Anolis sagrei: one gene and its partners. The protein of the gene in region 2 interacts with the protein of the main gene of each other region in a biochemical or structural test. Links are inferred from orthologs where the notes say so. Each region holds a gene or a part of one and is shown on either strand. Other genes may lie near its edges.

Region 1 (3,748 bases), on a different chromosome or scaffold from region 2:
TTTTGCCTATCTCCAAAACTTGGCTCAAAACGCTTTTGCAAAGTTTCCCACCCTTGTGACCCAACTTGTCTCTGAAAGAAGGAGAAATCTACACCCACCTGCAACTCGAGAGAGAGCAAAAGAGAGATGGAGGAAGGAGGAAAAATCCAATGCACAGCACAAGCATTAGGAGGAGAAGGAAAGAAGCTTGGAGAAGGAGATGAAGATGGTCACGGCAGAAAGGAAACCTGACCTACAGAAAGAAAGGGGACTTGAGTCATGAAAGACTGTAAGAACTGTTCAATAGTTCAATAGTGGAACTCTCTGCCTCATGGTGTGGCGGAAGCTCCTTCCTTTGAGGCTTTTAAACAGAGGCTGGAAGGGTTGCCGTGAGTTTTTTGGGATGTATGACCATATTCCAGAAGCATTCTCTCCTGATGTTTTGCCCACATTTATAGCAGGCATCCTTGGAGGTTGTGAGGTCTGTTGGAAACTAGGCAAGCAGGTTTATATATCTGTGGAACCTCTGTTTGAGGCAAGTGTGAATATTGCAATTACCAGCTTGATTAGCATTGAACAGCCTTGTAGCTTCAAAGCCTGGCTGCTTCTTGCATGGGGGAATCCTTTGTTGGATTTGTTGGAATCCTTAATTGGGTGGTGTAAGCTGTCCCTGATTGTTTCCTGTCTGGAATTCCCTGGTTTTTGAGTGTTGGACTTGAGTCGTAGACAGAAAGAGTCCCACAGAAATAAAGGGGACCTGAGTCATGGAAAGGAAAGGGACCTGAGTAGTAGAAAGAAATGGAGGCTGACCCACAGAAAGAAAGGGAACCACCCATAGAAAGAAATGAGACCTGAGTCATAGAAAGAAAGGCAACCTGACTCATAGAAATAAAGAGGACCTGAGTAGTAGGAAGAAAGGGGACCTGACCGACGGAAAGAAAGGGAACCTGACACATAGAAAGAAAGTGGACCTGAATCATGGAAATAAAAGCTACCTGAGTAGTAGAAAGAAATAGGGGCTTACCCACAGAAAGAAAGGGAACCTGACCCATAGAAAGAAAGGGGACCTGAGTCATATAAATAAAGAGGACCTGAGTAGTAGAAATAAATGGGGGCTGAACCACAGAAAGAAAGGGAACCTGACCCATAGAAATAAAAGGGACCTGAGTAGTAGAAAGAAAGGGGACTTGACCCACTGAAAGAAATAGGATCCGAGTTGTAGAAAGAAAGGGGGAGTGAACCATAGAAAGAAAGAGGACCTGACCCATAGAAATAAAGAGCACCTGTGTAGTAGGAAGAAAGTGGACCCGAGTCATAGAAAGAAAGGGAATCTGACCCATAGAAAGAAAGGGGACCTGAGTAATAGAAAGAAAGGGGACCTGACCGACGGAAAGAAAGGGAACCTGACACATAGAAAGAAAGTGGACCTGAATCATGGAAATAAAAGCTACCTGAGTAGTAGAAAGAAATAGGGGCTTACCCACAGAAAGAAAGGGAACCTGACCCATAGAAAGAAAGGGGACCTGAGTCATATAAATAAAGAGGACCTGAGTAATAGAAAGAAATGGGGGCTGACCCACAGAAATAAATAGCATCTGAGTAGTAGGAAGAAAGGGGACTTGACCCACTGAAAGAAATGGGATCTGAGTTGTAGAAAGAAATGGGGACTGAATCATAGAAAGAAAGGGGGCCTGACCCACTGAAAAAAATGGGATCTGAGTTACAGAATGAAAGGGGCACTGAATCATAGAAAGAAAGGGGGGGGGGCTGTCGTAGAAAGAAAGGAGACCTGACCCATAGAAAAAAGGGGGGGTTGAGTCCTGGAGAGAAAGAGGACCTGACCCATAGCAAAAAAAAAAAAAAAAAAAAAAGGAGATCTGAGTCATAAAAGGAGACCCGACCCATCGAAAGGCATGGCACTAGCAGAACTTCAACTCCTCCCTTTCCCCGCCTCCCTTTAAGGCACCGCTGGATGGGCTGCTGTGGGCCAGCCAAGCCAGGGATGCTACTTCTCCTTCTTCGTCTCTCTCTCTCTCTCTCTCGATGGCGATGTCAGTTTCGGGGAGGCGCCGACTTACCACATTCCCTGGTGCACAGGACCCTGCTGACCTCCTTCCTGAGACTCCTGCCCGTCTCCAGGGGCGGGGAAGACGCCTGGAAGAGCAGCGGCGGTGGCGGCGAGGAAAGCGAAGAGCCCGTGCCGTTGAGGCTGCTGGTGCTGGTGCTGCTACTCCCCAAGGGCTCCATGAAGAAGATGTAGCGGCTCTCTCGGCGGAGGCGGCTGCTCCTGCTGCTATTCCCGCAGGCGGAGGAGGGAGAGGAGGAGGAGGAGGGGACGGAGCCCCTCGGGGCCAGCAGCACCCACAGCAGCGCGTCCTTCCGCAGCCCGCCGCTCTTGGCCGGCCACACCTGGAGCACGCGCACCCGAGCCACTAACGGCGGCGGCGAGGAAGGAGGAGGGAAGGAGGAGGAAGAGGCGGGCAGGAGAGGGAGCTGCGGGCTGGGAGCTGGCGAAGGCGGGAGGACGGTCCCTGAGAAGGAGGAGCTGGAGGAGGAGGAGGCGGTGGGTTGCGCGAGGAGGAGGAGGAGGAAGGAGAACGGCGCGCGCGTCGCTTCTTCCTCAAGCACCTTACCCTCGACCACCACCGAGGCGCGCTGGGCCAGCGACTCCACCGAGGAGGAGGAGGAAGAGGAGCACTGAGGGTTCACCACTGCCCCAAACAGCACGAGGAGGAGGAGAAGGAAGAGGAGGAAGCACAGCATGGCTCTCCCTGCTCGGCCTGCCTGGCTGACGGGGAATGCAAGCGAGGGGAAGGTGCCTCGCTTCTTCGCCGCCGCTCACTGTGGAAGAAGGATGGAGGCGCGAGGAGTGTCCAGACTGAAGGGCGCGAGCGCCTCCAGCCATGTGTCTCCCTTCCCAGGCTCTGCTCCCCCCCCCCCTTCAACGCAGCCAATCAGAGGGGGAGGGGGTGCGCGTGACCTCTCTCCCCAGGCACGCGACGCACTCTATCTCGCGCCTCACCTGCGCGGAGGGGTGGGGGGAGGGAGAAAGAGAGAGAGAGGTGGCATCAACACACACGCGCAGATGTAAACACCACAGTGAGCGCGAGCGCGCTCTCCCTCCCGCAGGGGTGTGTCAAGAAGAGCAGGTATCCTCAAACTGTGGGCCTCCAAATCCCAGAAGCCCTAACAAGCTTGTTGAATGGACAGGATAGAATCATAGATTTGGAACAGACCTCATGGGCCAATATGACAACCAGTCCCCTACTAACCAACCACAACTGTAAATTGCAACGCTAATTTCATATAGGAACATAGATTGGAGAAGTAGGGCAATCTAGTAGGACAAACTTGGGTCCTATTCTCACAATCTTTTACCAATGACCATTGGGATGGGAGTTCTGAAACTTGAAATCCAAGAAATATCTAGATGGCCAAAGATTTCCAACTTCACCAGATGTGATGGACCATTATTCCTATCAGCATAGATTGAGGTAAAAAAAACCCCCAACGGTTGATGATTATAGAATCATAGAGTTGGAAGAGGCCTCATGGGCCATCCAGTCCACCCCCCTGCCAAGAAGCTTGAAAATCGCATTCAAAGCACCTCTGACAGGTGGCCATCCAGCCTCTGTTTAAGTAAATACATTAAATAGATGTAATCATAGAATCACAGAGTAGGAAGAGACCTCGTGGGCCATCCAGTCCAACCCCCTGCCAAGAAGCAGGAATATTGCATTCAAAGCACCCTCGACAGGTGGCCATCCAG
Region 2 (3,748 bases):
TTAAGCCGCTCCTCATAGGGCTTGTTCTCAGACCCTTGATCATTTTAGTCACCCTCCAGCTTGTCAATATCTCTCTTCAATTGTGGTGCCCAGAATTGGACACAATATTCCAGGTGTGGTCTAACCAAAGCAGAATAGAGGGGTAGCATGACTTCCCTGGACCTAGACACTATGCTCCTATTGATGCAGGCCAAAATCCCATTGGCTTTTTTTGCTGCCAAATCACATTGTTGGCTCATGTTTAACTTGTTGTCCACAAGGACTCCATGATGCAAGAGTCTGAAGGAAGACACCATAAGACTAGGATTCAAGTCCCTGTTCAGACACGGAAGTCTACTGGATGCCCTTGGATAGCTCACAAAGTCCCAGTCTTTTGAAAGCTAAACATGCCCAGCTCTTTAAGCCGCCCCTCATAGGGATTGTTCTCAGACCCTTGATCATTTTAGTCGCCCTCCTCTGGACACATTCCAGTTTGTCGATATCTCTCTTGAATTGTGATGCCTAGAATAGGACACAATATTCCAGGTGTGGTCTAACCAAGGCGGAATAGAGGGAGAGCATGACTTCCCTAGATCTAGACACTATAGTCCTATTTCCTTTCCATCTCGAAAAGGAAAGCGCTGTGGTTCTCCAGAAGTTGGGATCGAAGGCAGCAAATAGCAATCAGCAGAAGGAGGAAGGGATGATGCTCTCGAAAGGGAATGGTAGGTCCTGGAGAGAGGAGTGCGTTTATCTCTCCGAAGGAGAAAGTTGGCGATGGAATATGGTCGAATCCCTGGGAAGGAAGGCGGAGGGAAGCTTGGGTCTGAAGGGACCTGAGCCAGCATCAGGCGCTTGGGTGGATTCCTTCCTTTCGGCTGCTGCTGCATTTCTCCCCCTTCCAAAGGCAATGCATCCCGAACTGATTCCAGTCCACAGATTTCTCCTCAAAATCATTCCAACACCTAAGAAAAAGCCAGCCTTGCAAACGAGCCTCTCCCTCCTCCTCTTCTTCTTCTTCCCTTTCTGGGAACCCGCGCGCCACAGCTCGAGCGCGCGCCCGTGACAGGTGTTTCCCGGGTTGCAAACAGAGAGGAGGGGGAGGAGCGGAGTGGGCGGGGCTTACTCTTTGAAGAAGCCCAGAGGGGCGGGGCTACGGCTGTTGGGTCCCTCCCCCTCCTCAGCTGTGTTGGATTTTGGGGAGGGGAGAGAGCGCGCGCGAGAGAGAAAGAGTGTGTGTGTGTTTGTGAGAGAGAGAAAGAGGGGAACGCGGCTGGTTGATCTGCGCCGCCGCCGCCGCCGGAGTGGTTGGGAGCCCATGGCATTGGCGCTGGGAGGCTTTCCCCGCTCCGTCAGCCGCGGGAGGAGGCAGCAGGGGCAAGCGACGACGCGACAACTCTCCTCAGCTCGGGGGGCCTCTTGGGTGAGAAGTGCGCGAGGCGGAGGCGCGCGCCTCGAACTGCGGCGGCAACTTTGGGGAGTTCTTTCCGGGCGTGGGAAAGAGGGCACCTGGGCGCCTGAGGGGAGCTGCTGCGTCCTCGCGCTGCCGCCCGCTTGGAACATGTAACTGGGGAAGCGCGAGAGGAGGCACGCGCACACATACAATCCAGAGGGAGAGAAAGAGAGGGGTCTTGCTGCTACTGCTCCTTCGCCGTCTCCTTCTTCTTCTTCTTCTTATTCTCTCCGAAGATGAAGCTGTCCCTTCTCCTCCTCGGCTTCCTCGCCGTCGCCGGGACCCTCAGCGCCGCTCAGTCAGGTGCGTCCCATCCGTATAGCGGTTTTCTTCTCTCCTTGGCGTCCCTTTCCCCCCAAAGTTGCCTCCTTCGAGGGCTTTGACCTGCGGCTCGCGCGTGGCCCGGCTTGGTCTCCCCCTCCCCTCCCTTGATTATGTTTCCCCAACTCAGCAAGACTCTCTTTCCAACCCGATGATTGAGATGCTGTACAGCTGTGTCCTTATAAGATCCACCTGGAGCTGGATTGTAAGGCAGTGTAGAATCAGATCCACCCAATATCAAAAGCGGATATTGGGGATTGTCTGCCTTGATATTCTAGGTTATGTGGAAGGTCCCTGAGTGGCTTGGGACTAGGACGTTTGAAGAGCCCCCTCTTCTCATATGAACATTCTCCATCACCTTTGAGGGCAGAATGTATATTGCCATAATGCAATTAGTAGGGGATACTGGCTATACTTTTCTCAGGCTTTTGGGAAGAATATAAACTCATTTGAAAGATGCTGCTGGACAATAAATGGGGATTGTCTGCCTTGATATTCTGGGTTATATGGCGATGTGGAAGGGCCTTGAATGGCTTGGGACTAAGACGTTTGAAGAACCCCCTCTTCTCATATGGACATTATCCATCACTGGGTTGTTGTAGGTTTTTTCGGGATGTATGGCCATGGTCTAGAGGCATTCTCTCCTGACGTTTCGCCTGCACTTTGGCAAGCATCCTCAGAGGTAGTGAGATATTCTCCATCACCTTTGAGGCCAGAATGTATATTGCCACAATGCAATTAGTAGGGATACTGGCTATACTTTTCTCAAGCTTATAAACTCATTTGAAATATGCTGCCGGACAATAAATGGATCTGGGGATTATCTGCCTTGATATTTTGGGTTCTATGGCTGTGTGGAAAGAGGCACCAGAGAGCCCAGTTTAAAGCAAATCTTATGCGTTATCTGCCTTGATATTGGGTTGTTGTAGGTTTTTTGGGCTATATGGTCATGTCCTAGAGGCATTCTTTCCTGACGTTTCGCCTGCATCTATGGCAAGCATCCCCAGAGGTAGTTCTAGTGGCATTCTCTCCTGACGTTTCGCCTGCATCTATGGCAAGCATCCTCACTACCTCTGAGGATGCTTGCCATAGATGCAGGCGAAACGTCAGGAGAGAATGCCTCTTTCCACACAGCCATAGAACCCAAAATATCAAGGCAGATAATCCCCAGATCTATTTATTGTCCAGCAGCATATTTCAAATGAGTTTATATTCTATTGTCGAAGGCTTTCATGGCCGGAATCACTGGGTTGTTGTAGGTTTTTTCGGGCTATATGGCCATCAGAGGTAGTTCTAGAGGCATTCTCTCCTGACGTTTCACCTGCATCTATGGCAAGCATCCTCAGAGGTAGTGAGGATGCTTGCCATAGATGCAGGCGAAACGTCAGGAGAGAATGCCTCTCGAACATGGCCATATAGCCCGAAAAAACCTACAACAACCCAGTGATTCCCACCATGAAAGCCTTCGACAATAGAATATAAACTCATTTGAAATATGCTGCTGGACAATAAATGGATCTGGGGATTATCTGCCTTGATATTTTGGGCTCTATGGCTGTGTGGAAAGGGCCCCAGAGAGCCCAGTTTAAAACAAATATTGTGGGTTATCTGCCTTAATATTATATGGCCCCATGTGCTCAGCCTCCGGCCCTTCCACACAGCCATATAACCCAAAATATCAAGGCAGATAATCCCCAATATCTGCTTTGAACTGTGTGATCTGAGGTCCCTTCCACGCAGTTGTATAAAATTCCAAAATTATCTGCTATGAACCGGGTTATATGGCAGTAGGACTCAGATACTCCAGTACAAAGTAGATATTGTGGGTTTTTCTACCTTGGGCCCTTCCACACAGTCTTGTATCCCAGAATATCAAGGCAGCACATCCCACAATCTCTGCTTTGAGCTGCGTGATCTGAGTCCACAGTCAGATGATGTGGGATTTCCTGTTTTGATATTCTGGGATAGAGGGCTGCGTGGAAAGGCCCTGAGTCC
Region 3 (3,748 bases), on a different chromosome or scaffold from region 2:
CCAAGTCTGTTTTACACATGGGGAGTGATGGAGGCAGAGAAAAACCTATATGGCTTTTTAAAAAAAAAGTAGACCTTATACTGCACATTAGAATTAAAGATGGGCCCTCAATGCAAATGAATTGAAGGCCATGAGGCTACAAGAATCAGTACTACCATTGGAGAAAGGTGTTAAGTAAATGGAAAGGAAGGTTCTGGACCCTTTTGGCAGATGACAACAGAGCTTCCCAATTTGCCCCTTTGCTTTGATGGAAATAACCAGGGGAAGGGACTAAATTGAGTACCACCCACTTTAATAATTTTTTAAGATTCGGCTGAAGAAAGAGGCAGGAGCAAACAAAATTTGAAGGAGTTGCCCAGAGTTTGATACAGGCTAGTTCATTTATTAATATTTAAATGTGTGTATTAAACATATAAATACAGTTAAACAACTGTTAAAAACATAGCACCTACTCCCACATTACAGACAGATGCTTGTATACGTTTGTATACAGAAAGAGATACATGTGTATACACACACATACACGCAGGGCCCTTCCACACAGCCCTATATCCCAGAATATCAGCGCAGAAAATTCCACAATCTCTGCTTTGAGCTGGGTTCTTTGAGTCCTCCATGCTTACCCAGTGTTTTAAACTTTTAATCCCTGCAACTTGCCCTGCCCAATTATTGTGATTTTATATTGTTTGGTGCGTTTATTTATATTGCTTTGTATTTTATTTTTATATTTGTTATATATTTGCTCTGCTTGGCCTCATGCAAGCCACCCTGAGTCTCCCTTAGACAGAGACTGGATGGCAGTCTGGTGGAGGTGGTTTATTATTTATTTATTTGTGGTATTTGTATACTACCCTTCTCAACAGGGTAGTTCACAAGGGTTTGATTGTGCTTATTATTTATTATTATGTGGGATTTCCTGCCTTGATATTCTGGGATATAGGGCTGTGTGGAAGGGCCCACAGATATACAAACACAAGAGAAACAATCTTACTTACTTAGGAGATCCCTCGTTGGACGAGTAAGATAGTCTTCCATAATAAGTATTCTTGTGGATCCGTAGGTGGCTGTGGAGCCCTATTCTTGATCTGCATGTTCTCCTGCACTGAGGGCATTGGTTTCCAGGTGGAAGGTGGTCTCAGTCAGGGTTGGCTTGACGCACCTTCCTCTTGGCACGTTTCTCTCTTTCACCCTCCATTTGTGCCTCTTCAAATTCTGCAGCACTGCTGGTCACAGCTGACCTCCAGCTGGAGTGCTCAAGGGCCGGGGCTTCCCAGTTTTCTGTGTCTATGCCAGAATTTTAAAGGTTGGCTTTGAGCCCATCTTTAAATCTCTTTTCCTGTCCACCAACATTCCGTTTTCTGTTCTTGAGTTCGGAGTAGAGCAACTGCTTTGGGAGACAGTGGTCGGGCATCCAGACAAAGTGGCCGATCCAGCGGAGTTGATGGCAGAGGACCATCGCTTCAATGCTGGTTGTCTTTGCTTCTTCCAGCATGATGACGTTTATTTGCCTGTCTTTCCAAGACATTTGCAGTATTTTCTGCAGGTAGTGCTGATGGAATCGTTCCAGGAGTTGCATGTGACATCTGTAGACAGTCCACGTTTTGCAGGCATATAGCAGGGTTGGGAAGACAATAGCTTTATAAACAAGCACCTTGGTATCCCTACAGATGTCCTAGTCCTCAAACACTCTCTGCTTCATATTTGTATACTATCCTTCTCAACAGGGTGGTTCACAAGGGTTTGATTGTGCTTATTATTTATTACAGGGTTAGTCAAAATGCATAGGCCAATAAGCCATTCAATTGAATGGCTTATTGGCCTATGCATTTTGACTAACCCTGTATTATGTGGGATTTCCTGCCTTGATATTCTGGGATATAGGGCTGTGTGGAAGAGCCCACAGATATACAAACACAAGAGAGACAATCAATACACACAGGCACACATGCTATTCCCTTTGACTCAGGCATGAGCAAGCTCGGGCCCTCCAGGTGTTTTGGACTTCAACTCCCACCATTCCTCACAGCCTCAGGCCCTTTCCTTTTCCCCCTCAGCCGCTTAAGCGGCTGAGGGGGAAAAGGAAGGGGCCTGAGGCTGTGAGGAATGGTGGGAGTTGAAGTCCAAAACACCTGGAGGGCCCGAGCTTGCCCCTGCCTGCTGACCTGTTCGAGGGCCTACTATTCCTCCTCCTCCTCCTCCTCCATACTCACTGGTTGGTGGGGGGCGCGTTGAGCGGGATGGCGACCTCCTCCTCCTCGTACTCGGGCCCGTCCAGCGAGTCGCCCTCGTCCACGGTGCTCAGGCCCCCGGCCGGAAGCGGCGGCTGAGGTGGCGGCGGCAGAGGAGGGAAGCCCCCCGAAGCCGAGGCCACGCTTCCTCCGCCCTCGGGAAGCTGAAGCGGCAGCGCCGGCGAGGCCTTGGCCATCTCCTCAGGGTCGGCAGGCCTCGGGTGGAGCACGGGAGAGACGCCAGAAGGGCAGGTGTCGCCGGAAAGAACCAAAGCAGCGGCGGCGGCGGGAGGAGAGCCTTTGCTACGGGCGGCGGCGGAGGTGGCGGTGGTGGCCGGAGGGCAGCCGTGTCCGCCGGGCTCCCCGGCCGCTCCCGAGCCGCCCTCTTCGCCTCCAGCCTCGGCCGCCGCCATCATGCTGCTCCGGCAAGGCCCCGCCCCTAATGGCGCAGCGCGTGCCCGGTGGGAGGGGCCAAAGCAGAATCGGTGAACGAATGATGAGGAGGGCTAGAGCGAGGATTTTATGAACGATTGAGTTGCGGCGGTTACAACAAACGGGGCGTGGCCAAATAAACCACGCCCCTTCCCCTCTTTGAGGCGGTGAATGGGAACAATGGGGAGCCGCTGTGCGCGTGCGTGCGCTTGTGTGTGTGTGTGCGCGCGCGCTCGCTCGCGGAGGGAGGGGTAGAGAGGAGGTAAGAGGCATTCGCTGCGGACGCCCCCTGCTTTCCCTTGTGTAGCCGCCGCCCTCGTCCTTTCTGCGCATGCGCTTGCCGCTTGGGAAGGCTGTTCCGAGAGTAGACGGAGGGGCGTGGCCTCAGCCGGACTACAGCTGTTCTCGCAGAAGGATTCTCCCCCTCCGATCTGGAAGCTGTTTTAGCTGCAAAGTGTTTTTCCTAATACAATAAAGGCTTAACAAAGCCAGCATCGTGACTTTCTTATATATACAGATATATTCTAATATTATAATATAATATATTGTATATACATATATTTATAATATTATAAGGTAATGCAATATAATAATAAGATATTATAATTCTATATTTATATTAGATGTAATATTACTAATAATACTACAATATAATGGGGCCGACCAAGGGCAAGATGGATGGATGGCATCCTTGAAGTGACTGGACTGACCTTGAAGGAGCTGGGGGTGGTGATGGCTGACAGGGAGATCTGGCGTGGGCTGGTCCATGAGGTCACGAAGAGTCGGAGACAACTGAACGAATGAACAACAACAATAATGGTATAATACTATATAGTAATATTTAATACTGATATTGTACTATGCTAATAACAAAATATATATACAATAAATTATATTATCTGCTCTGAGTCCCCTTCGGCGTGAGAAGGGCGTCATATAAATGTCGTAAATAAATAAATATTGACATAATAATAATAATAAAACTTTATTTATATCCCGCTACCATCTCCCAAGGGGGCCCCCGGTGGCGCAGTGGGTTAAAGCACTGAGCTGCTGAGCTTGTTGACCAAAAGGTCGCAGGTTCAATT

The links.
Region 1: the proteins of ERBB4 (region 2) and NRG1 form a complex in vitro, tested with the Homo sapiens proteins (2 studies listed by BioGRID and IntAct, with this or other methods). The link is inferred for Anolis sagrei from reciprocal best matches to the Homo sapiens genes ERBB4 and NRG1.
Region 3: the proteins of ERBB4 (region 2) and RASA1 form a complex in vitro, tested with the Homo sapiens proteins (2 studies listed by BioGRID and IntAct, with this or other methods). The link is inferred for Anolis sagrei from reciprocal best matches to the Homo sapiens genes ERBB4 and RASA1.

The regions. Positions count from the first base shown.
Region 1 is NC_090022.1:157,783,102-157,786,849, forward strand, and holds the start of NRG1 (pro-neuregulin-1, membrane-bound isoform), read right to left. Parts: upstream 2,882-3,748; 5' UTR 2,743-2,881; coding exon 2,058-2,742; intron 1-2,057. UniProt on the Homo sapiens protein: Direct ligand for ERBB3 and ERBB4 tyrosine kinase receptors. Concomitantly recruits ERBB1 and ERBB2 coreceptors, resulting in ligand-stimulated tyrosine phosphorylation and activation of the ERBB receptors.
Region 2 is NC_090021.1:172,653,236-172,656,983, reverse strand, and holds the start of ERBB4 (receptor tyrosine-protein kinase erbB-4), read left to right. Parts: upstream 1-1,143; 5' UTR 1,144-1,668; coding exon 1,669-1,735; intron 1,736-3,748. UniProt on the Homo sapiens protein: Tyrosine-protein kinase that plays an essential role as cell surface receptor for neuregulins and EGF family members and regulates development of the heart, the central nervous system and the mammary gland, gene transcription, cell proliferation, differentiation, migration and apoptosis.
Region 3 is NC_090022.1:258,200,512-258,204,259, forward strand, and holds the start of RASA1 (ras GTPase-activating protein 1), read right to left. Parts: upstream 2,787-3,748; 5' UTR 2,645-2,786; coding exon 2,211-2,644; intron 1-2,210. UniProt on the Homo sapiens protein: Inhibitory regulator of the Ras-cyclic AMP pathway. Stimulates the GTPase of normal but not oncogenic Ras p21; this stimulation may be further increased in the presence of NCK1.